Linked DNA regions of Styela clava. The protein of the gene in region 1 interacts with the protein of each later gene in a pairwise test. Links are inferred from orthologs where the notes say so. Each region holds a gene or a part of one and is shown on either strand. Other genes may lie near its edges.

Evidence for each region.
Region 2: the proteins of 26S proteasome non-ATPase regulatory subunit 3-like (region 1) and 26S proteasome non-ATPase regulatory subunit 6-like interact in a two-hybrid assay, tested with the Caenorhabditis elegans proteins (2 studies listed by BioGRID). The link is inferred for Styela clava from reciprocal best matches to the Caenorhabditis elegans genes rpn-3 and rpn-7.

The regions. Positions count from the first base shown.
Region 1 is NC_135263.1:1,699,470-1,711,717, forward strand, and holds 26S proteasome non-ATPase regulatory subunit 3-like, read left to right. Parts: upstream 1-7,383; 5' UTR 7,384-7,441; coding exon 7,442-8,980; 3' UTR 8,981-9,598; downstream 9,599-12,248. Other genes in the region: carboxypeptidase D-like, read right to left, coding at 1-754; uncharacterized protein LOC120326815, read right to left, coding at 11,283-12,248. UniProt on the Caenorhabditis elegans protein: Acts as a regulatory subunit of the 26 proteasome which is involved in the ATP-dependent degradation of ubiquitinated proteins.
Region 2 is NC_135258.1:11,545,668-11,558,230, forward strand, and holds 26S proteasome non-ATPase regulatory subunit 6-like, read left to right. Parts: upstream 1-6,130; 5' UTR 6,131-6,233; coding exon 6,234-6,381; intron 6,382-6,876; coding exon 6,877-7,082; intron 7,083-7,559; coding exon 7,560-7,705; intron 7,706-7,997; coding exon 7,998-8,217; intron 8,218-8,474; coding exon 8,475-8,583; intron 8,584-8,750; coding exon 8,751-8,919; intron 8,920-9,426; coding exon 9,427-9,601; 3' UTR 9,602-9,681; downstream 9,682-12,563. Other genes in the region: KICSTOR complex protein SZT2-like, read left to right, coding at 521-1,093, 1,760-1,884, 2,260-2,481, 2,824-2,892, 3,435-3,593; 10 kDa heat shock protein, mitochondrial-like, read right to left, coding at 4,871-5,179; RWD domain-containing protein 3-like, read right to left, coding at 10,067-10,864; ADP-ribosylation factor-like protein 1, read right to left, coding at 11,315-11,857. UniProt on the Caenorhabditis elegans protein: Acts as a regulatory subunit of the 26S proteasome which is involved in the ATP-dependent degradation of ubiquitinated proteins.

The DNA.
Region 1 (12,248 bases):
TACGCGCCATGTATCGGAAAAATATATCATCAGGAGCTTGGCTTTCATGTCTATAAGAATGATCTGCAGAGTCATCAAATGGGTAACTCGCTACTTCGCTACCAGCGTGAAAATTTGCTGAAAGCACGAAAAAGTTTTTCAGTATCCAATCAATCATTGCTGTCGTTTCGGGTTGGCGGCTTTGTTTCCGTTTTTTTGCACCAACTGGGGTGTCAAATTGATCTGGAAAATTGCGATTTAAATCAGCGGAATTTGCGTTCTCTCGTCCCTTATACCTCGACGTGCATGAACCTTCAATTGCCAACTCAAACCCATCAGGATTCAAAGAAGGCATGATGAATAGTCTTACATTATCCACAATATATTTCGTCCTGTCATCTGTTTCGTATTTCCCAAGTAGATGTTGGGCGAGATAGATCAAAATTTCCCTACCGATGGTTTCGTCGCCATGCATATTTCCCACTAACTTGACCTTTGGCCTTCCTGGGCTTTCTTGTACAACATTTTTAGAAATTTCTATGTACATTAGTTCACGTTTTTGTACTGATTGACCGATAGATCCTGTTCGCGCAAGATCAGGAAACTGATTCTGTAAGCCATCAAGTGTGGCGACTAAGTAATCATAATGATGATATTTATTAAAGTCATGAGTGGTGAAATCATCAATTGAATCGCGTTTTGTGATACTCGTACAGGCCGCTAATCCAATGAAAGAAAATACCATCCAAAATGTAAATCCTCCATATAAATCCATATTAAAATGGTTTGCTTATTATTGTATTTTATACTTATAACATAATTACAGATATTGTGTGAATACAGCTAAAATGAAAAATATTAACTGAAAAAATTAGTAGGAAAATAAACTGATGTTCTATTTATCAACAGAGAAAACAAATAAACTACTCGAGTAAACAGTAAGTTCTCTAATTTCAAGATGACCCCACACAGATATCTCTGAAGCGAGGGTGTCTGGCACTGGTCAGTTTGTGTCATGCTTGTCTCAATAATAATCTACCGTAAATTAATCGCAACTGTCACATGACTAAACTTGCGATTTTTGCTGAAAACTCTTAAATGCTACGGTAACTTTTTTTCAGTATATCGAATTATTTTTTCTGAGAAATTCAATGGTAACATTTTTAGATTGAACTTCCTTTCAGTTTATTGCACAAAGCTATGGAGGCCCAGACTGTCATACATTAAGGAGGGGTTTGAACTCACTGTTATAATTTATTTATTTTTTGTTCTGAAGTAAGTAGGTACAAAAGTATGACAAAAAATAAATCAAGATTTTTTTTTTCACTGTTATATTGAGGCAGCTCCTGCCACGAACGTACCGCGCCGTCTCTTGCTATGGTTTTATGGCGGTATTATCGGTATATTTACAAAGTCATGTACAATATTTTAGTTTATCATGCGGAATTATATCTACTTAAACCTAAACCTATCCCCAAATACATCAAAATTGTTTTCATAAGAAAAGTGTTTCAACTTACCCAATATTTATCACCATCAGGGGCAGCCCTGCTATTACAGCCGACATGCCGTGGTTATGGCAGCAAAATTGGTGGTACACAAACCAATAGCGAGCTGCTGTGATTACGGCAGCTAAACAGTCAGTTGCCGTGGGTTTGGTCATAGCGGCCATGGTTTGAAAATCCTGCCATGGTTTTGCGGCAGATCTAGACGCCACAAAATACTTGAAACTGTACTTGGTGATGTTTGATGTCTTTTATTTGGGGGCTATACTTGGAATCGAAGAACTATGCCATACAGTACTGATATGTGTCAAATACTTTCGATATACACAAATGGTGGGTGGTAAATAACTGGGCTGTCTTATCGTCAGAAAATCTGTACCTAGAACATTTTGCTTTCACCAATATTTTGCTGTGCCTGTGTTTTCTGTTTACCGTAACTAAACAATTACACTCTTTTTTGCTCTCTGTGAGTTGCGAGCGTTTAAATTAATCATTTTCAAATGCATTGACTACAGGACTATAATTGTTACAGATGCCATTCTCAGATAACAGGCAACCCCCTCAGGCAGTCAGGCATAATTTTAAGTAATTATTCCTCACAAAAGCTGCAAAGTTCGAATATGGGTGCCAACGAGCGTCTAATATATTAAAAATATTTCTCCATCTGTGGAGTAAGAGTGGATAAATCGAAACCGCAGTTTCTGTTTCGGGGAATCCCCTAACTTTCGATCGATAAGTCTTCGGTCTCTGACCGATATTCTTTATATATTTGTTATTATGTGTGTCATTTTTGGTGAACAAGCACATGCATTACACGTTATAAACTTTATTCTTAAGTTTTGCTCGTTTTCCAGGCATTTCTGTAATATGATTTCTTTTACCGAGTGTTGCGTTTTCAGAATGACAACATAAATCAATAAATTCTGAAATGGTATTACATTGGGGTCTCGTGTAGTTTCGTACCTAATGTACTTCTAGTAGGCGTAGCATAACAATTTTTTGATATGTCAATCCTAACCCCCATCTGACTAAGCCATCCAAAAATTACGTCACTACGACATCACAATCACGTCATAGAGCTTGCCAAATATTCGTACGATCGCCCGAAATGGCATTGGCGCTGACGATAAAGAACTGACTGAAGTTATCGATCTCTCTCCTATTGGAACCGTTGCGACGAGGAAACGAGAGAAATAACTGTTCGATTTTGGGTGCTCGTTTGCGCGTCTTGTACGGCAGTTCATATAGTTTGAAGGGCTCCATTACGTCACTGTGACGTCGTAATGATGTAATTTTTGGATGGTGTAGTCAGGTGGGGGTTAGGATTGATACGTGAAAAAATTGTCATGCTACGCCCACTAGAAGTATGTTAGGTTCGAAACTACATGAGACCCTTATATTGTGTAATAAGGTGAAAGACAGATAATTTCATTTTAAGCCCTTGTACCAAAGTGCTTCCTATCTGGCCATTACAGGGCTGCCACTTTTGCCTGACTAAAAACATCTAGATTGACCTCGAAAAACATCTAGGAAGTCATTGAATTTAATGAAAATTAACAAAACAGGAGCATACAAAGTTTATTGTTTTACATAAAACAGTAATATTGGATGTCGAAGAAGCTAACATCATAACCTAGAATTCAATTCCAACCCGTAGAACTCACAAAGAGCTTTGTCCTTATCATCTGAATGGGCAATCCACTTTGGCATTTCGATAGGTTGATGTGTAAAGAGAGACAAATTCAATATCACTTATAGATTCAAATAACTTTATAATTTTAAAATCTTGAAGTACAGGAGTAAGCAACTTGAACAACACAAGTTATTCGGGTCTGGTATAGTTTAGTATCGGTACCACATGTATTTCTAGTTGACCTGGCTCAACAATTTTTGCATATGTCAATCCTAACCCCCACCTGACTACGTCACCGAAAAATTACGTCATTTCGACGCCACAGTGGCGTCATAAGGCCCACCGAAGTATGCGGATGGTCGTCCAAAACGCGCAGAAGATCACCCGAAATCGAGCAAGCAATTTCTCTCGTTTTCTCGTCACAACGATCACGATAGGAGAGAGATCGCCGGCTTTAGCAAGTTCGTTATCGGCGGCACATATGACATTTCGGCCTTTTTCGGGTGATCGTAATTATACTTTGGCAATCCCTATGACTTGATGGTGTCGTCGTAGTGACATAATTTTTGGATGGCATAGTCAGGTGGGGGTTAAGAATAGCATATGCAAAATTCGTTATGCTGCGCCCACCGGAAGTACTTGTGGTACTAAACTATACTAGACCCAGTTATTCTCACCCCTTGCAGTCTTGGCAACAATGCAATACTAAGCACTGACTGATCGAACCAACGTCGTCTTTTCTATTTAACGTTAATTCGAACATCACATGTTTAATTCATTATTTAAATATTTTAATTAGATATGGATGGTACCGTAGCGGTGGACGAATACAATATAAATGAGTTTTATCAATCTTACATCAATTCTTCTAAATACTGAAATAATATTCATTCACCTATTACAGTATTATACACATCTCTTTATTTATTTCCCACTGAATAATACTTCGAACTTTGAAAAAAAAAATATCTAGATTTTTTATAGCTAACATCTAGGCTCCAAATTTTACATCTAGATCTTGAAAAAAACATCTAGATCTAGATATAAAACATCTAGAGTGGCAGCCCTGCTGGCCAATAAAAAAAATAAATTCCAGTTTTGCACTCTCAACTAGTCTACCTAAACATTGGAGTGGCGTCTGAACATTGAAGTCCGTGGTTGGTGCAGCCAGGCATCCGTGCATTGCTAAATTCTCCCTTGACATAAATCAGTAAATCCTATACCTAATAATTATCCACTATTTTATTAAATTTATCTCGAATTTTCGTCATGTTTGTTCGCCTTCCAGCATTTGGTGCCGTTAACTTTGTACCATGGCGTTACAACTAAGTTTATTACAAATTGACGGCCGCAGCCATCAGATAAAACTGTGAAACGCAGCCAGCGGAAACCCAGAAAGCCGATCTGGCCGCAAATTTTTCACTGAAGAACAACATGTGACGTCAGGAACAGATGATTCATAGCCAATCATCCAGAACGGCGACGTAACACGTTGAAAGTGAGAGAACTTTTTTGCAACAACGAGGGCTCAATTATCGGACACGTAAGTTATAAATCGTTTTTATATTTGGACACGTGAGTGTACCTATGGATCGTTTTGATATTATGTTGTTGTTCTTGTCGACGTTCTTTTTCTTCGTCGCGATAAAATCGCTTTTTCTCTTCGAATACTGGACCAATTGTTTTGAAATTTTCAGTGGTTGAGAATTGATTTTTTCTCTAGAAGGCTATAACTTTTATTTGTCCCTAAATTTTCTATAAATCCTAGGAGGTCTAATGTTTCATCCAAAATTGCGCTGTATTACATTTTAATTATGGGAACACGGTTTTTAATCCGCCAAGTGTGATGAGTGACTGTGCGCGGCGGAGTGACTCAACGGACTAAGCGTTAGGAATACGCTCGCCACCGCACCTCTAATTACTCTGCGTGGGTTCGCAGGTTCGAATCCCACGCATGAATAGTTATGTGCGAGAGGATTGCTGGACTCCTCGCCGTCGTTGGGTGGTTCACTCAACCGCTGATCGGTTACGGCTTCCTCCACCACCAAGTCCATGCTTCCGAAAACAAACAATATAACTAATCCCATACCCGACTTGGAATGGTAACCGAACGAGAGGCCGTGGTTCGCCATATGGATAAGCCGTCTTATCGGCTTTACTCCCTACCCCCCCGGGATAAATATGTAAATCCTATCCTATCCTAAAATTCTTGCGACTGTGAACTCGGAATTTTTGAGGGTACGGTAAGGTACCGGTAACGTCATAGGTAAGGACTGCTTCGCTCTGGTCAACGTGTCCATATATTTGAGCGTTGCTCTCTTGTTATATATATAAAACCTAAACAACAGTTTACACTAACATTCATTGTTTTGGAAATTAAAAATCACACAATACAAGAATAATATGCACAAACAAGTACAACACCTAAAGTGTAGCTTTCTGCAATACGGCATCATATTGAAAATATGCAGCCAGCTCGGCGGTTGTCGTTTCTTTCCATCGCACCTCTGATTACTCTTTGTGGGTTCGCAAATTTGAATCCCGTGGGGAATAATTATGTGCACGATGATTGCTATTCGCGTAACCGCTGATTGGATACAGTTTACCCCGCCATAAAGTCCAACTCGGTATGGGCTGGCAACTGGATGCGACGTGGTTTAACTCGCCAAAAGATTTAGCCACTCAATTGTCTGTCCTCTTCCTTTGTACAAATATGAAAAACTATCTCCACTTATATTATCTGATGTCGTAGCCTTATACCCTTTGGTGTTTTGGTATTTGCCCTTCCGACTTCTGAGCAACTTTTACTTTGCGTTGTTTTCATTCACAGGACTGAAAATCAACACGTCGAAAGGCTGGAATTATCATATTCATCTCCGAGAAGAAAAATCTAATCCTATGACATACCATCTGAAATCGAGAATTCATTTCAGACTTTTTCTACCAAAAAAACGAAAATGACTTTGTTGACGGAATGAAATAGGATTAACATATTAATATCAGAGGAGAGGGTTAGCAATTAATGTCGGCACGATGCGTCACATTTACAGTAATGTCCTCCCGATATCTTCTAATTATCGGCGGTTACGTGAATTACCATGGCCTACAAAAACGGGAGTTCAGCAATCCATATATTTATTTCCCACGGGATTCGAACCCACGCAGGGTAATCGGAGGCGCGATAATGATCGTTTTCCTAATGCTGAGCACGATACGTCACACCAGCGAGAATATAGACTCGAACTTCTCAGAGTAAGTTTATTCGTATATAATGCAATTTACTGTTAATGATTGTAGTAATATTTTCACATAGTGCTGTCTTTATTATTATGTAGTATATATTTACGTCATATTAAACCCGATTCTTTTATGATGGTCAATAAAGTACTAAATTACCATAAAATATATAATATTTGTTGGTGAGGCACATGATACTGTACTCATCTTGTTTTAAATTTTTTTGCTCGCTCTCCGGAATTTGTTTGTATTGTCAGTTTTCAAAATAAACTATCTATCTATATCGGTGTGTCGAGTTACATCTCCGCATCTCCTACATTACATCCGCGTATTTGGCTCGGCGGTGTGGCGCATCGTGTTAAGCGTTAGGAATACGCTGGCACCGCATCTCTGATTACCCTTCGTGGGTTCGCAGGTTCGAATCCCATGCGGGGATGATTTAAAAAATATCCCAATTACTGCGTTAGATATGGCAGTGGCCGAGCGATTGAAGCAGCTAATTTTACTAACCAAGGGAACCACGCTTATGCTACCTTTCCCCCAAGGGAAATACGATTACGACTTTTCGTGACCGTCAGAGTAATGCGACTCCTTGCACCCCAAAGGCATCGCTTAAACATGACTTGCATGTGAATCAGCATTTCTCGGGGCTTAGCTTTGTGAAGGGAGTTGCAGTTTATAGCAATATGCTAGCATTATCTGTCATATATTGTTTTATACTTCAGTTGTATGAGTTTAACTAGACTTTTATTTTTTAGCTCTTGAGAATTATTTGAAAATCTGCGGTATGGAAGGCCATTTATGGATTCCAAGGTACGATAATTTATTACCGGTATTTTATTGTCAGATTGTAGTGAATTCAAAATGAATTTATTGTTTTGGGAATGCTGTTATTGTCAAAGGTACGGTACATATCGGGTACCGTAAGCTAATGAATGGTGTTGGTAAGTAATCATAACCACGAGCCATGTTTCAGTTCATACAGTTCAATAGAATGTGAAGATGAATTTTTTGGCAGCTTCACAAAAGTTTATTTATTCTGTTTATTACTAGAATTGTACGTAACATTAAATCTAATATCCTCAAAATGGTTAAGGGAAAAAGGGCGTCTAAGACGTCAACAAAAGATGTCGAAATGAAGGAAGTTGAGAAAAAAGAAGAAGAAAAACCAGAAAAAGATGAAATTGACCCGAAAGAAAAGGCTGATAAAGCTTTTATTGAAGATTTCAAAGAACAGTTACGACTTTTAGATCGTTCCGTGACTATGAAGGAACCTCGTCATGCAATGAGAGTAATGCGGTCTATCCCTGCGACTCGAAGAAGATTAAATCCCGAAATATTTCATCAAATCATCTCGCTCGTGTATAATGGAAGAGAAGCTACTGACAATGCAAATAAAGAAATGCTTTTGTCCTTCATTGATGAACCTATGGAAACAGCTACAAAACAAAGCGCAGACGCTGCTTCGGCACCACCTTCGCGACAAGCAAAGAGTTTTCGAATTCCGGAGACTGATATTTACATCCACCTCCTAGTGCTGATCTACGTTGTTGATAAAAATTCGTACGATGAGGCTGTTAAGTTATCAACTGCAATTGTCACGAAACTTGTGAGCCAAAATCGCCGTTCACTTGACAGTTTGGCTGCGAAATGTTATTTCTATTACAGCAGAGCTTATGAAATGACGAACCGTTTGGAGGACATAAGAGGCGTGTTACATTCTCGACTGCGAACTGCAACGTTGAACCACGACCAGGAAAGCCAATCTGTGCTGTTGAATTTACTTCTTCGGAACTACTTGCATTATAATTTGTACGACCAGGCTGAAAAACTTGCATCGAAATCAACGTTCCCGGAGACATCGTCGAACAACGAATGGGCAAGATTCCTTTACTACACTGGTAGAATTAAAGCTATTCAATTAGAGTACTCAGAAGCACACCAGACGCTACTCAGCGCTCTTCGCAAAGCCCCGCAAGCAACTGCTGTCGGATTCAAGCAAACTGTGACTAAATTGCTTGTCACGGTTGAGTTACTTCTCGGAGAAATTCCAGAGCGTGCTCAATTCAAAAAAGAATCGATAAGGGGTGCTTTGATACCGTATTTCGAGTTAACACAAGCGGTTCGGACAGGAGACTTGAAGCTCTTCAATGAGAATTTAGAAAAGCATGGAGATGTTTTCCGGGCGGATCGCATGTACACGCTTATTTTACGAGTCCGTCATAATGTTATCAAAACTGGAGTTCGACAAATATCTGTCGGATATTCTAGAATTTTCCTCACTGACGCTGCGAAAAAATTACAACTCGATTCTGCAGAGGAAGCGGAGTTTATCATCGCCAAGGCGATTAAAGACGGAGTCATTGAAGCGGAAATTAATCACGAGGAAGGGTATGTTCGTACTCGTGATACGACTGATGTTTATGGGACACGGGAGCCGCAAAAAGCATTCCATAATCGAATCGAATTTTGCTTGGATATCTATCGTAATTCAGTTATGGCAATGAGGTTTCCCCCAAAATCATACCACGCTGATTTAGAGAGCGCGGAAGAGCGCCGTGAAAGAGAACTTCAAGACATCGAGTTCGCAAAGGAAGTGGCTGAGGAGGACGACGAATACCCTTGAAAAAAACTTTGACCTTGAAAACTCTTTTTTCAAATTTGTTGCTATCTCTGGCCCCGTTCATTACTGGTAAAGTAAATGGACAAATTTTTAGATAAAGCTCAGAAATTGGCTGAAATTTACTTATTATTTAAATTAATTGAATTCAGTGTATTCTTGCAACCTATATAGGGTGTCCATAAAGTCTTAAAATTGCAAAAGTAATTTATTGTTACCAAATATTGTTTCGGTCCTCACTAATGTATTAAATGAGGTAAAAAAACTTGAACGCTTGCAAACAATTAAAAAATAACAAACCTGGTTCATATATATTGACAACTTGATTTACATAACGAAATTAAAATTGTAAAGAGACTTTATCGACACCCTGTATATCAATACTCTTTTCACTTATAGTCGAGGACGTAGGACCTCGCTTCGAAGAAACTTCATAAAAAAAATCCAAATTTTAGTAGTTGCTCAATGTGTGCATTACCCTGCTGTGAGCTCCCTTTTGACTAATTCTTTCCAAACTTTTGGATTCAAATTTTTTCCAGTGATTACAACCTTATTGTCATTGTACAGTTCCATTGAGTTGTGATTTTTCTACTGTAATAATATAAGTGGATTTATATCACAGAATGCGGCGCAGTCGAGACTTTCTGTTATTGAACGGGGGGTTAGGGTTCTGAATTTTCTTCACAATCTAAAATAAGTACTTTCGACCAGGGCTACTCAACTGGCGGTCAGAATCCGGGCCTTTATTGGATTCGGACCGCACATAATTCTTCATTTTGGATCACTTTTCAAGTTTCCTTTTATAAAATGAATTTTATAGTTTTGAATATAAATGAAAAGAACTATAACACCATAATAAACAATCTTGATTTGCTAATAATCATCAGCCGGTTGGTTGAGAAAGTGTGCATTTAAGGATGCCAAAATATAATTTCTGGAAAGACCGGACCCAAATAATTTTAAAGTGTTGTATGCGGATCTTTGGTAAAAATAGCTGAGTAGCCCTGCCCAAGACTAGGGGTTCTCAAACTTTTGCTGTTATGGAGCCTTTTCTTGGGGCCCCACAATAAATCTATAAAAAAACACACTGTAACTTACTGATTAATGTAGGCTAATAAACTAAAATTATTTTATTTAAATACGTGCTGCCTTGTTTAGAAAAAATAGTAAACGTAGAGTTTGTGGAGTCGGGCGGGTATTCAAGCACCGGCCCCTATTTTTTTTTATGTTTTGTTCACACGGGCGGCTATTCAAACGGGCCCTTAATCAAGATCGGGCGTTAAAACGAGTTTGGTTATGGTCATCGATCTTATGAAATGCGCTGTTCGCATTGCACAAGCTAGCTGTTGTAACGTCCTAGGTATAGATAATGAATTGGGACTCAAATTGGATTGGAATTACTCGCACGAACCAGATTAAACTAGTTTGCACACCCCTACTTTAGGTCAATAGCAAAGTCCAGCCCACTTTTTGTGTAACCGAGTTAGTTTTCCTGGTTTCCATCCAAATTGGAGGTGCATCTGTTTATTATATTAGAAGGCACTCAAAATGACAAATCGATCTGTCTGGTGAAATTTACTCTGCATAAACTACCTGCATTACAATTTGTTAAGACTAAGCTGAAAAACTCTCATCAAAATCAACATTTCCAGAGACTTTGTCATTCCTTTACTGCACTGGTGGTACAATACAAAATCAAATCTATTCAATTAACGTGCACAGAAGCGAACCAGACTCAACTCAACGCTCTTCGCGAAACCCCTAATTTAACTCCTTCCTCCAAATAAAAAAAACTACGTCGGACTTCACCCAAATAAGAAAAATGTAACCCAGCATTGATCACAGTGGAAAATTTTTAAATGAACAAAACAAGTATAAAAAAGCATAAAAAATGGAGCAATGAACATTGTTATATATAGGCAGTCTCACAAGCCTGAATCTGTGTTAAAGCCCCTATAATATTAGTTGCAACTCTTCTACCAGTAGTACTCTTTCCACTTTTAGTTGGGGGCCTGGGACATTGTTTGGACCAAACTTTCAACTCTTCTATCAGTACTCTTTCCACTTTTAGTTGACGGCTTGGGACATCGTTTAGACCAAACTTGCAACTCTTCCATCAGTACTCTTTCCACTTTTAGTTGATGGCTTGGGACATTGTTTGGACCAAACTTTCAACTCTTCTATCAGTACTCTTTCCACTTTTAGTTGTGGGGTTGAGACGTTGCTTTGAGCAAACCCGCAACTCTTCTATCAGTACTCTTTTCACTTTTAGTTGAGGGCTCTGGATTTTGCTTCGAGCAAAACCCCCTCACATGCCAGACATCCACTCAGTTTTCTGCGTTCCCAACACGCTTTGTAGTTGATTCAACATGAATTCTTCCCATCGTTCATAAATTATTCGAACACTGGTGGGCCCGATTTTAAGCGCTTTAGATATTTCAATGTCAGATTTCGCACCAGATAATTTAACAAGAACCAAGAAAAGTTGCTCGCGCGATTTTAACGCTTTGGAAGTCATTTCTAACGCTAATGGGCCAAGCATGTTAAAAAATAAATCAAAGTGCTCATAGCTATCAAAGCCAGTTAAGGTTCTCATATCTCCACCAAGGGATTCCAATCGTTGTAAAATGCACTCTTTTTCTGATATTCCGTTTGCCAACAGGACAGAAGACAAAGAATTTTCTAAATTTTTTGGTAGATATATTTGAGGGTCTGTCCCAGGTATGGGCATCAATACACATGGGTCTTCACCGTTATCCATTGATACTTTTTTCAGAAGCGCAGAGTATTCCTTGATTTCGTGACCCACAGAATAGGCCTGCGATTTATCAAATTTCTCCTCACATTGAGGTTTCTGTACCGTCCTCTTTCGTAAGGAAATCAAAGTTTCATCATCAGGCTTTCCAATTATTATTTTTTTACCTGATAAATTTCCAAGCGTTTTTTGTTTGTTCATTTTAAAATTTGTAAATGCCATATTGCACAGTGTTTGTTGTAACAGCAAATTTCCTTTTTTCCCATTAACAATCAAGGCTGAGCCTTCAGAATTTTTATGCACCATTTCTGGAAGATTATGATCATTGCTTTTTTGGTAGCTTTGCCACAATTTTTCATTGAGATCTTTTGATATTTGATGGGTGTCCGATGGTAAATGGCTATTTGCTTCCACAAAACCTTCAGTATCTGCAATCATATTAGTATTCGATTTTAAAATCTCTGGATCTGGGCCTTTTCTATGTCCTGTGGACTCGCTACTATGATTTTGGGAAGGCAT
Region 2 (12,563 bases), on another chromosome or scaffold:
AGTTAAAGCGAAATGTTAGGCACGCAGTAATAGTAACATGATACTGCAAGAGTTTATCTATATTTTACCTTTGCAAAATTTTTGATCCTTATTTTCAGAGCGTTTCGCCCAAGTTTCATTTAAACTAATTTACATGTTCATAACCACCATTTTATTCAAATTATTTCACCTTCTGTCATTAAATAGTTAACTAATCTAGTCTTGCTATTCCGGGACTAATTTTTGGTAACTGCACCTGAACTAAATCTCCTCAGAATACGAAATGGCCATTTATTTTACTGAATTATAACTAGGTAAATTTTTGGAAACACAATGAAAAACTTGCGAAACTATGAAAACAATCTAATTGTTACTGACCTTTGGCATCCTGCTCACTAACCAATGCGACGGAACTAAACAAGAAGGTAGATGCTTGTGGAAACATCCATTGTCTTCCTATTAAAATCCATATGATACGTAAGAACAATCTCCAAAATAGTTAGTGCTCAGTTTTTGTAGCATTTTATAAATATTATTTCAGAGGGCCGTCCTCACCTAACTTTTCCTGTAAGAAGAAGATCTTCAAATTTAGTCACTCGTACCAGCCAAGAAAAAATTCCATCAACTGACAAAACAATGTCACCTGCACCTTATCCCAGCACAGTTTTGAATGTCAAACAACAAGGACAAAGTCCTACATCTTCTCAATCGACGTCTTCACTACAAAAACTCGCAAATCAGGCCACAACTCCGACAAATTCTGCGAAAAAAGAAGCTATTCATTTATCGCCTCTTTCTTCGAGAAAATTTAATATTAATGCTCAAGCGAGAGAAACATTTGCAAAAACAAAATCACCGACGGAATCGATAGTTTCGCCGACATATAACCAAGAAAACGTTTTCTATACCCCTGGACCACCAAGTCTCATAAAAAGAAAATTGATATCTCAGGGAAGACGACAATCAATGCCTAATGTAGGTACCTTGCCACTTGGGATTCGACGTAATCCACAAGATCCACCAAGACAAGCAACAGAGTTTTTACAAATGCAGAATTCCACAGGACATTCTGTGAGATCTACAAATGAAGATAAATTTGCTTTACAAGAAGAAGGTTTGTCCAATCATAGGTCATTATAGGTTATGTGAAATGGTTTTTGGATGTCCTGAAAAACCATTTTTCCCTTAGCACCACAAGTGTGGAAAAAATTGATAGGCCTATTATTGAATGTACTTGAAGTATTCTTTTTCTTTAAGACCCATTCTAGCATTCTGCATGATTATTCTGAGTCATGTTCTCGGTGAAGGTGCAAAACAACGCATAAAAGCATATTTTGTTTTCATATTACAATCACGCATCGAAAGAAAACTTTAAAGGAGCAGTATATAAATATAACAAAAACATAAGTCGAGACCTGGTATTATTGCCAATCTTTTTCTTCACCTTTCTATGGTCTGATCTAATGGCAGCATGCCAAATGGAAATATATTCTGAGTGATTGAAGAGTCTTGATTCACACTGACACAAATATATTTCTGTAACGTTTCGTCTGACCAAAGTCAGACTTCCTCAGACATACATCATTCAACTATAACAAGAAAAGCACTTGCATTCATATTTAAAAAATCAGTGTAAAACTATTAAATCATATTGTTGGTTTGTTTTATTTTTTATTTATCACATTCAAAGTTCCTAATCATTTGATTATGGACAAAAATCTTACTTATCTGGACATATTTTCTAGAACATTTCAGTTTAAGTTTCGTTTATTTCTCTCAGGCCTACCATCATTTGTACAATGTGAAATCAGTCGATTGAAAGATTTTCTCAAAAATATTTGTGCTTCTGCTGAAATACAATGCTACAGAAATCAACTATGGGATAAAGTCTACATGGATAAACCTGTGAGCAACACATTTTTATTCTTTAGTGAAGTTTCTTCCAATTTTTCCAATCAGTTTAACAAGATATCTTGTTATGGTGAATTTGATTGTATTTTTGTAGAACGAGAATGTTTTCCTTCGCTCAATTATCATACGGTAATTTTATACATTCGAATTTTCCCGTAGATTTCATAGTCCATGCCTAGTATCTATTCATTAAACTGGGTAAACAATCCTAATTTGTGCTCTAGTTTGAGTTTTAAAAAGTTCAACTTCAGGATGAGATTTTGACAGAAAAAACTTCTGATTATAAAATTTTACTATCTTGGCTCCCTGCTTTTTCAGTCTCTTATTCCCATATGTTTACAATTATTTTTCATATCTTTTGTTACCTAGTCTCCAAACAAGACTTCCATGCTTCCTGTTGAAGATTTTGAACATTTATTGAAACATTGTCAAAAAGTTCCTTTGCAAAATATGGATTTTCGTGGACATGATCTGTGTAATATCGAAACAATGGGAATACAGTGGGCAATTGGACTTCAGAAACGCATGCTTTCAAAATTCAATCAAATATGCAGATTTTACACAAATTCTGAAGGAACGAAAAGATATTTGGTTAGTATTATTTCTTCATTATTCTTTTCTATTTTTATATCATTCTTTGGAAGGAAAACATGAATTGAGTACATAAATCAAGTGTTGGGACATGGTTTCCTCAAATCACAGGTTTTCAACATGACATAGGTTTGACCTGAATCGGGGTAAATTTCACAAACAAGAAGTACATGGCCGTTAAGAACATAGTAGATTACTGCTTTTTGGGGATCGCAATAGATTCTGCTCTATTCGTAAGCTGTTTTATATTAGGTAATGCATTGACAGTCGTCATTACGGCTATCCAGCTATCAGTTCCTTTAAAAATGAAAATGATCAAAACAACCTTATATTTAATTGCAGGGAATATTGAATCCTAAGCTTTATTTCATGATGCTATTGATTACTGTTGATACTGAGAATGAAGATATTGTAAGTATAAATTGTATTAACATGAAGAATCCAGACATTAAACCGAATGAATATTTCCAATTTGAATGTTATAGTCGGGATTCTTGAGTAAATAGACACCATATGAATCCAAATTTTGGCTTTTTGGCTCAAAATTTGACTCTAAACTGAAGGAAGTGTCAACTTGGAATCTAGGTCCCAACTCTGGAAAAACGAGATTTTGATCACAAAAACTTGGGCCAATACCTTTCCTTAATCTTTTGTTAATTCTTTTTTAGTTTTAGTCAGAAATATAGACTTCAATTACTATTATATTATCAATAGAAATGAGAAAGCAGCCAGAAATCGCACCATTAATTATATATGCATCATTCTATATACATTTCATCACATTCCCAACTATGTGGTTGGTTGAGTACAGCAAAAAGCTACATTACAAGTTGTATTAGAACTAATTTTAGCACAGAGTGCCATGATTTTTTTCCAACTATTAGCTAAATTTTACTAAATCAAAAATCATTTATTAAACTACATAAAAAAGAATAATTTTTTTAAAATTTCAGGGAATGTTTATTGTGATGAGAGATAAATGCCCAGAGTTGGACAGAGATGAACCGAACCTGACAATTGGAAATCCTATTTTCATACCACTGAAACAGCATTTAAATAATATGATCAATTTTATTTGCTATTATACATGGACTTCGTTGTTGTCAAACTAATACATTCTTAATATTATTATAATATTTATCTGCTCTATGTGCCATGGTCATGTCAAATAGACCTCTGAGAAAAGTAGCAGGTGTGTCATTCGACAACTTACCTTGGTATGTCTGAAGAAGTTGGGCATGGATTATTACATTGCATTTGTGCTAAGTGGGAATATAGTATTGAAGTTTTCAGAAGTTTAAAATGAAATATGCATGAAAAAATACTACAGATATTGCTACCCCTATTTCAATTAGCTTAGATGAAGCTACATGTGTAGCACACTATTGATTTAACATTTGAAACTTTCTCATCTTTTTCCTTTGTAAAAATTTAGTAGTTTATTCTTTGTCTTTTTTGCTACATCTTGTATTCCGCACATTGGTGTGTGTTCTTATCTCAAAGAAGCGATTGGGACGAAAAGCTTAAGATGTTCAGCTGCGCGAGAAAGAAATCAAAAAATAATATAAGCTGTTTAAATTGTTTCCTGATGCCATATTCCAAGTGCAATTGATCAGTGATTTCTCTGGTGAAATATATTTTTCTTTGAAACTTGTCATTCAATAAATCTATCTTGTGAATTTTCAGTGGTATCAAATAATTCTAAGTGTCATCTTGTTGCAGTGATGTTTTGAGGCTCACATTTAATAAAAGTGTCTGGGCATTTTGAAAATAATTTAGTGAAAATGGATGCGTGGGTGGGTTCATGCTTAAGTTGGTCCTAATGATGTTCATTTGAGCATTCTTGCACACCATTGGCTCGCAATTATAACGAAAAAAGGTCTAGACCTGACATGGGCCAAATCCGGCCCGCCCGATGCTACGCAACGAAACTAAAACCAAATTTTGATCTTTTATCTGAAAAATAGCTCAAGGAACGTTTAGTTTTCGCAAAAGGCTTATTGTTTTCCTAATTTGCTTTTGTAACACTGTAAATATTCTTCAACTTTTCACATCACCCTTACATGGCTTGCCAGTCTAAGTGAGCAAAATTTTTGGTCCCTGGCCCACGCCTGTTCTAGACTGTCATATGTGCATATAGAAGACTTATTTCTAAAATGATACAAAATTTGCAACCGGCATCGTTAACTGTTCCCCGCAACATCAAGAATTGGTAGAAAGATTTAATGACCACAGCGGCAGTATACACACAAATGTATCAGCGAATTACGATAATATATTACAATAGGTAATTATTCAAAAACACTGCTGCTCTGCCAGTTTTTTTGCAACGATGGTAGCTCCAGACATGATTGGAAAATTTCAGTTTTTGCATGGGTAATAGCAGTTTTCAACTCTCAAATTTACCTAGAATATCTCCATCACGGAATAAATGGTATTCATCGTCATCAAGCAAGACTTTTGTGCCACCATATTCTGGAAGTAAAACACTATCACCAACGTCAACGCTCATTGGAATAAGTTTGCCATCTTTGTCTTTCGTGCCTGGACCTTTTGCAACCACTTTAGCTTGTAAAACTTTGCCAACAGATTTTTCAGGGAGAACAATTCCTCCTTTTGTCGTTAACTCTGGTGCACTTCGTTCAACCAACACTCTGTCAAATAGCGGCAGAAATTTCTTGAAAGCTTTTGCTGCCATTTTTGATTTTCTGAAAGATAAACGATAAGATAAGAAGTGCTGTGAAACCATATTTTATTAGGAGTGCCGAATCCTAAGTGTTCAGCACGTACTTCTTGGTCTTTTTTCATCAAATTCCTCCCTTCGCTTTTTTGGAACTCCTCATTCCCCTCTTGCTATGTACAAAAAATACTTTATTTATTCAATCTTTAATGAATCCTAGCTAGTACTATGCACAAGTAGCACCCCGCTTTTGTGTAATTTTAAAATGTGTACTTAAATAAGTAGTCTATTATAGTGAAAATAAAGAACTAAAATTGTTTACAGTATTAGTAATACTATGGCAAATACAAAGCCTACCATGAAACATACGGACATAACAAGTGATAGTTGGGCTAGGGAAATTTCTTTCTGTGGCCAATTGGCATAGTGCATTAGTTTTAACACCGGTTGAATTCATAAAATGATAGAGATGTGATTGCACTAAGTTAGAAGATTCAGAGGTCGTACGGTAAGACTGTAAGAGCCCTGATGCAGTGCTAGATCAAGAAGTCCCACGCAAAATTGCAGATGTATGTTTTAGTAACGGTACTGCTATGCTCAAAATAAAATCACTCATAAAAAACTCACCTCAACGTTAAACGCGATGCGGCAGGTCAAACACAACTCAACAGAAGAGGCGAAGAAATTTCCCGAAGCAAAACCACGCTCGATTTTCACCAGGGTTGCAACATGCGTTTCTGAAATGAAAAATAAACAACTTATTGTGACACCTAGTAACATACTACAACGAGAAGTGAATACTTTTGGGAAAATAAGTTTCAATATGTATGTAAATATTAAAATAAATGAATAAAAATATTTTAAAAGTGTTTCTTGAATAAAATATTGTGGTTACAGACATTAACATTAATTCATATGACGTAATAAATCCATCAAAATATCGCTTAATCATATTATATGAATCAGCTCATTTCTTGAGTTAGTGTGTGTTCGTCTTATTTGATCTATCTGTAGCGTTTCAGTTCAATCCGTCTTTATTTAGTTTCAGCATTTTATACATTTACATCACATAATGCCGGTTGAAAATTTAGAAGAAGAAGGTCTGAAAAAGATTCCAGACTTGGAAGTCGCGCAGTTGAAGTTCTTATTAACGTCGGACGATGAGGAAATCCAGCAAACAAAAATTAAAAAACAATTTATGGAAGCGATCGAAGCAAATGGCAAGTTTTAGAAGTTATTTTGCTAAAATTAGGATGAATTCCTCAAATTGGTTTTTAAGAAGAATTGGTGTTTCTATCTGAATATTATTGCATTTTATTACAGTATTATTGTTCTCAAACTCATGAAAACTCATTTATGATTTTATTTAAGATTTGTTTTAAGTTTGAGAAAACATGACGATTATACAGTTTAAGATTGATTGAATAATATATGAACAATGTGTTCATGAGTCGTGACAAGTTTGTATTATTAATGTTTGTATTGTATCAATGACCATTATTTAATCGAAATTCATTCTTTTCAAACTTGACGTTGGCCGACTTTAACTTCTTGTTTACTATGGTGCCAACCTAAATGTAGAATTACCTCCTATTCTGAAATAACAGTTTATACAGACCCATCTTTTCCAACCAACCAATAATCATCAATATGCTTGAATGATAATAAATTAATATGCCACAAGATGTGTAATTTAGACGTTTTCTTTTTTACAGAGATGGCACCCTATTATGAAATTGTTTGCAAAGAACTTGGAATGAAAATTAACAATACACTTTTAAAGAAATTGAAGGATACAAATGAGAAGACATTAAAAAAACTTGAAGATAAAATAACAGAAACTGAAGAAATGGAATATGAAAGTGAAGTCAGAGATGCTTTACTTGCAAAGGCTGAATATTTGTGCAAAATTGGTAACAAGGTAACAACAATTCCCTAGAATGTTTATTCATAACAGTCGACTGGGGCTGTGGATTTTGGGATCATTTTTGCCCGACTCAATTGAAAAACAAATCAGACTCTCGATTCCGAGTTGAAGAAAGTTTAAATTTTGATTATAATAACTTTGTCACATGCAAGCCTTCCTTGTCAACTTTATTCATTTTGATTATATGTTTGAAATCTGCAATCCAGATTCTGAAATATTCAATTGGATTCCGGATTCCGGGGGGTTTGAAAATGCGACTCCAATGTCAATAAAAACATGCAAAGTCAGGACTCTCACTTCCAATTAAGGTTTAGAAATGAGCTGTTCATCAATTCAATATAGCTTCTAAATGTTCTAATATTAGTCTACAATTTCATGATTTTCAACAATATGTAATAGCACAGTAAAGACATGCTCGTAAAAATTAGTCTTAATTACATATATTTATGCCTTTCCTCAAATAACTTTCAGGATGACGCTCTCGAAGTTTTCCAGAAAGCATATGATAAGACCATTGCACTTGGACACAAGCTTGACATCATTTTCTACAGAATTCGACTGGGATTGTTTTTTATGGATCATGATCTGATTACCAAGAGCATAGAGAAGGCAAAAATGTATGAAATATATTTGTTGTGCATTTTAGTTTAGAATTAAGCCCTTTGTGGCATGCACTATTTGTCCTTAGGTGATATATAATTTGGATTTTCTCTCGAAACAAAGCCATGTACAAGTAGCAAGTATCTAGCGATTCTGCCTTCATTTTTTACATCCTGGATTGGTAGACAGTGTGACCAGGGTACAGATGTCAACATTTTCACACCACGATACATCAATTTATTTCTGTTTATGATAAGTGTTTGTGATAACGATTGTTAACGATCTATACCAACTTTTATTGTTTTTCAGTTTAATAGAGGAAGGTGGTGATTGGGATCGGCGAAACAGACTAAAAGTTTATGAAGGTTTGTATTGTATTGCGATTCGAGATTTCAAGAAATCAGCAAATTTGTTTCTGGATACTGTATCAACATTCACATCCTATGAACTTATGGATTACAAATGCTTTGTCACATATGCTGTTTACATCAGTATGCTTGCTCTTGATAGAACCGAGTTAAGAGAAAAAGTGAGTTCTATTTAATGCACAACTTTACTACATTTTTTTACTACACAATTCAGTGATGATTTATCATTATGCGAAACTTAACTACAATTTACTTCAGTACATATTAACAACATATATTGATAACTCAATTCAAGCCTATAGTTAGGACATTGGGCCAAGTGTTGATAAGAGTAATTACTAGCAATTGAACCATCGTTTACCCTATTTTTGCAGGTTATAATCATATAACTGAACTAACTTTTCAAACATCAATTCAGGTTGTAAAAGGTTCAGAAATCTTGGAAGTTTTGCATAGCAATAAGGAATGCAGAAGTTACCTGTTCTCATTGTATGATTGTCATTATGCAGAGTTTTTCCAGCGTCTAGGTATGACTTAGAACGTGGAAAATTTGAATTCTTAATAATTGTTTTTCATTGGGTAATATAATACTCTGTGTGATGTGATTTTGGAATAAGGATGTAAATGTCTTAAATTCATTTCATATTATCTTTTTATTAAAGAAGTGAAATTTATTTATTTTTGAATATTACAGCTCAAGTTGAGGTGGAAATGAAGAGAGATAGATTGCTGAATCCTCATTATAGATACTACACTCGTGAGATGAGAATACTTGCTTATACACAACTCCTTGAATCATATCGTAGTCTTACATTAGAATATATGGCTGAAGCATTTGGAGTTACTGTTGAATTCATTGATAGGTATGTTTACCTGAATCATTATATTAGCTATGGGGTGAACTTTGTACCATCAATGGGAAGCTACCAGATGTGGATATTGTTATTACTTTGCATACGAGAAAAATTTCTTCTTGATCTTCCATTTAGAAATTGGAATGTCGCTAACTAAGGGCTTAAGTACTTGAAAATTTTCAATCCTTGTCTGTCTGAATTGAGTCTTGGACTCTGCTTTTGATTCGAATACGAGCAACAGAAATGTGGACAATTTGCATTGCCTGATGAGTAAATGAATATCACTATCAATCGAGTATATCAGTTTAGTATGAATTGTATTCGGCATCTGAACTGCTAACTCCCATTCACGCAATTCACTTGTCCTTCCAAAAGAATATCTACATCTATATAGTCTCACGAGCCCTCTGATACTTTGCTCAGAGATCGGCGTCCTCTGTTTCCGAGTGAGTGTGACCTTGATACGATCAACCTAATTCTTGCAAATAAAAAAAAAATCTCATCTCGTTTACACAGGGAGTTGTCAAGATTCATAGCTGTTGGGAGACTGCATTGCAAAATTGATAAGGTCGGTGGGATCGTTGAGACCAACAGACCTGATAGCAAGAACTGGCAATATCAGGAGACAATAAAGAAAGGAGACTTGCTGCTAAACAGAGTTCAAAAACTATCAAGAGTCATCAATATCTAATTATACTCTTTATTTCGTATGATAGAAACAATTCTTGTGTCCATAATGTACCATGTTGTATATATAAAATTTCAAACAAATGTGCAGTGGTGGTAAAAATACACATTCTGTGAGTGGCAAATTCAGTGGAGATAATAAGAGAGCTATGCGGTAGCAGGCTAAAACAAGCCAATCCCTTAGATGAAAAAATGACGAGCCACCATTTACAATAAATACCAAACGGGTTCCTTAGAAATATAGTAAAAACAGCCAAAGCAAGTGTATGAACATTGTGAAACTAATATTGGATATTATACCCATAAGATTTTCAAAACAGATAAAATGTGGTTTTCTAGTATGTGACGAGAATAGAATACAGCAACAAATTTTAATGTGTAATGTGAACATAGCATGTGTTTGGCCTTATTTTTACAACCAATTAGCACATTCTATTGTTCACAGCCATGAATGAATTTAAATGAACTCTTACGCACGAGTAAGCAATGGTCTAAGTATGTCATACAACATGGACGTGAATCCTTCACTAAACAGGCTTTCCACCTCGTTTATTTCGGACAGTTCATGAACATGGAAGCCCTCAAATGGTACAAGGTCGTCTTCATAAGAATCTCTTAATAAAATAGTCATGAGCCGTTCTTTACAAGCATGACCAGCTGAATCAATATCAACTTTTTGAGTTCGCATCTTTTTTAAATATTCTTTAATATCATTCTTGTTACCGTACAAGATTATAAAAATGAGATGCTTGTAAAATAAAACAACACCCTGGACTTGTAATCGAGTTGCCCATTTTTGTAACGTTTTTAGATAATTGTTTTTTGAGCGCATATGATCAAGCTGTATCACACAAATTTCCTTCGTTTTATTCTTAGCAAGACTTCCTTCATCTCCGCAACCCTGAAGTCTATTCGAATTTACACCAGAAGCAAATTTTGCCACGTTATCTTTAATCCACAATATAAGGTCTAATAACATTTGACTGTTCAAAAGATTATTCTCTGTCGCAAACTTGGACATCTCGCTGTTCAGTCCAGAGGAAGATTCTCTTGTCAGCATTGGTGAATCAATTGTCACATGTGGCACAACTTCTGGATATTTGTGAGATATATAAAAAGTAATTCTGAGTTGTTGACAATTCTCCTCCGCGTGTGTCAAATTGAGTTTAAACGATTTAGATAAAGAGCTTTCCAGATCATTAGCTTCAAACTCTCCTTGCTGACAATAAATAGACTTCACGGCTTCAATTTCATCCAGAATGGACATAGTGGTATCGTAAAAATTTAAGATAGACTATTCACAAACAAATATATAATACAAATACATATATACAATACATCAGACTAAATATAAACAAATTCCAGGATCAAAAATGAAAATACATGACTATGCTAGCGAATTAACCAATTTCTTAAATTTTAGTCTGTTTTTTGGAATATTTCCATAACACAAATCATTTAAAAAAAGCTAGGCTAATTATGAGTGGCAATTTCATCATAATGGTTATTGATAGAATGTTTGGTTTTAAGAAAGCGCGGACCATGCATGAAGTTCAGTGAGGTTTATTTCCTGGAGAGCGTACAAACTATTGCTGTCTCTTTTCAGCTTGTATATTGGTCCGACTGTTGCGGATTGTGATCTAACTAGCACAGCATTAATTCATTAGCTTTTTATATAAGCTATTATATTGAAGAAAATTATATTAAATAGATATTCCTAATTTGATTGAAGTGTAGACACAAGCCATTCCATTGCTGTGTCTAGTCCAATATTTTTCAATGCGGATGTTTTGAAAATTTGCCATTTCCTATCTCTCAGTTTAGAAAGTCCGAGCTCTTGTGCAATCTCTGCTGGTGACATAGCTTGTTCACAGTCTTGTTTATTGGCAAATACTAACAGCAGTGATTTTTTCAATTCTTCTTCTTCCAGCATACTTATTAATTCTTGTTTTGATATGCCGATTCGTTCTCGATCAACGCTATCCACAACATATATTATAGCATCTGTGTTGCTGTAATAACATCTCCAATAGGGACGAATGCTGGTCTGACCGCCCAAATCCCAGACTTGAAATTTGAGATTCTTGTAAACAACTGTTTCTACATTGAAACCTATTGTAGGAATTGTTGTGACTACTTCTCCAACTTGTAACCTATATAGAATTGTAGTTTTCCCAGCACCATCCAAACCCAGGATAAGAATTCGACGCTCCTTTTGTCCAAACAGTGATGAAAATAATGAAGCAAACAGATTCCCCATGATATAATTGACTGTTTAATAAATTCCTTTATGACGCATATATATATATATATATTGAATTTATCTATGTAAAATGAATTCAAGGATTAAATATTATATTGATGTGCTCTCTTAATAAAATAAGTTGCCGATAGATACATGAATGCTCAAACATATGGAAACAATGGTATGAAATGGTGAAGTCCGAGAGCCCTCAACTTGATGAAACGATCGACAGGCGGTCCAGCAATACTGGATACAAAGTGTTCCCGTTTTATTAAAAAGAATCCAAAATTGGTATTCGAAACTTTAAACAGTTTAGATTATAAATACAAAAATACCCTTCCTAAATGCTGATATGATTACCTTCATATTTGTGTTATACCAGTGGTACCTAAAAATTGTACTTTCAGTGTTGTTAAAACTTAAAGCAACATTACCACAACGAAAAGCTAGAATCTGACAAAGGGTAACCAAGTAGGTCAGGGATGTCTGGTGGAAATTACTACAGTACTAGCGTGAATTTGCCACATGACTGTATCTGTATGAAAGGACTTAAACTGAATCTATGTCGTATCCAAGAAATTGCAGGCGTTTGTAACTTCAGAACTATAGACTATAACTGCAAGTATCATAACTAACGTTACAGTACTGAATACGAAATACTGAAAAACTGTAACCTCGGAACGTCTCAGTCAGCTGCAACGCAAGCAGAAACAGAAACCGT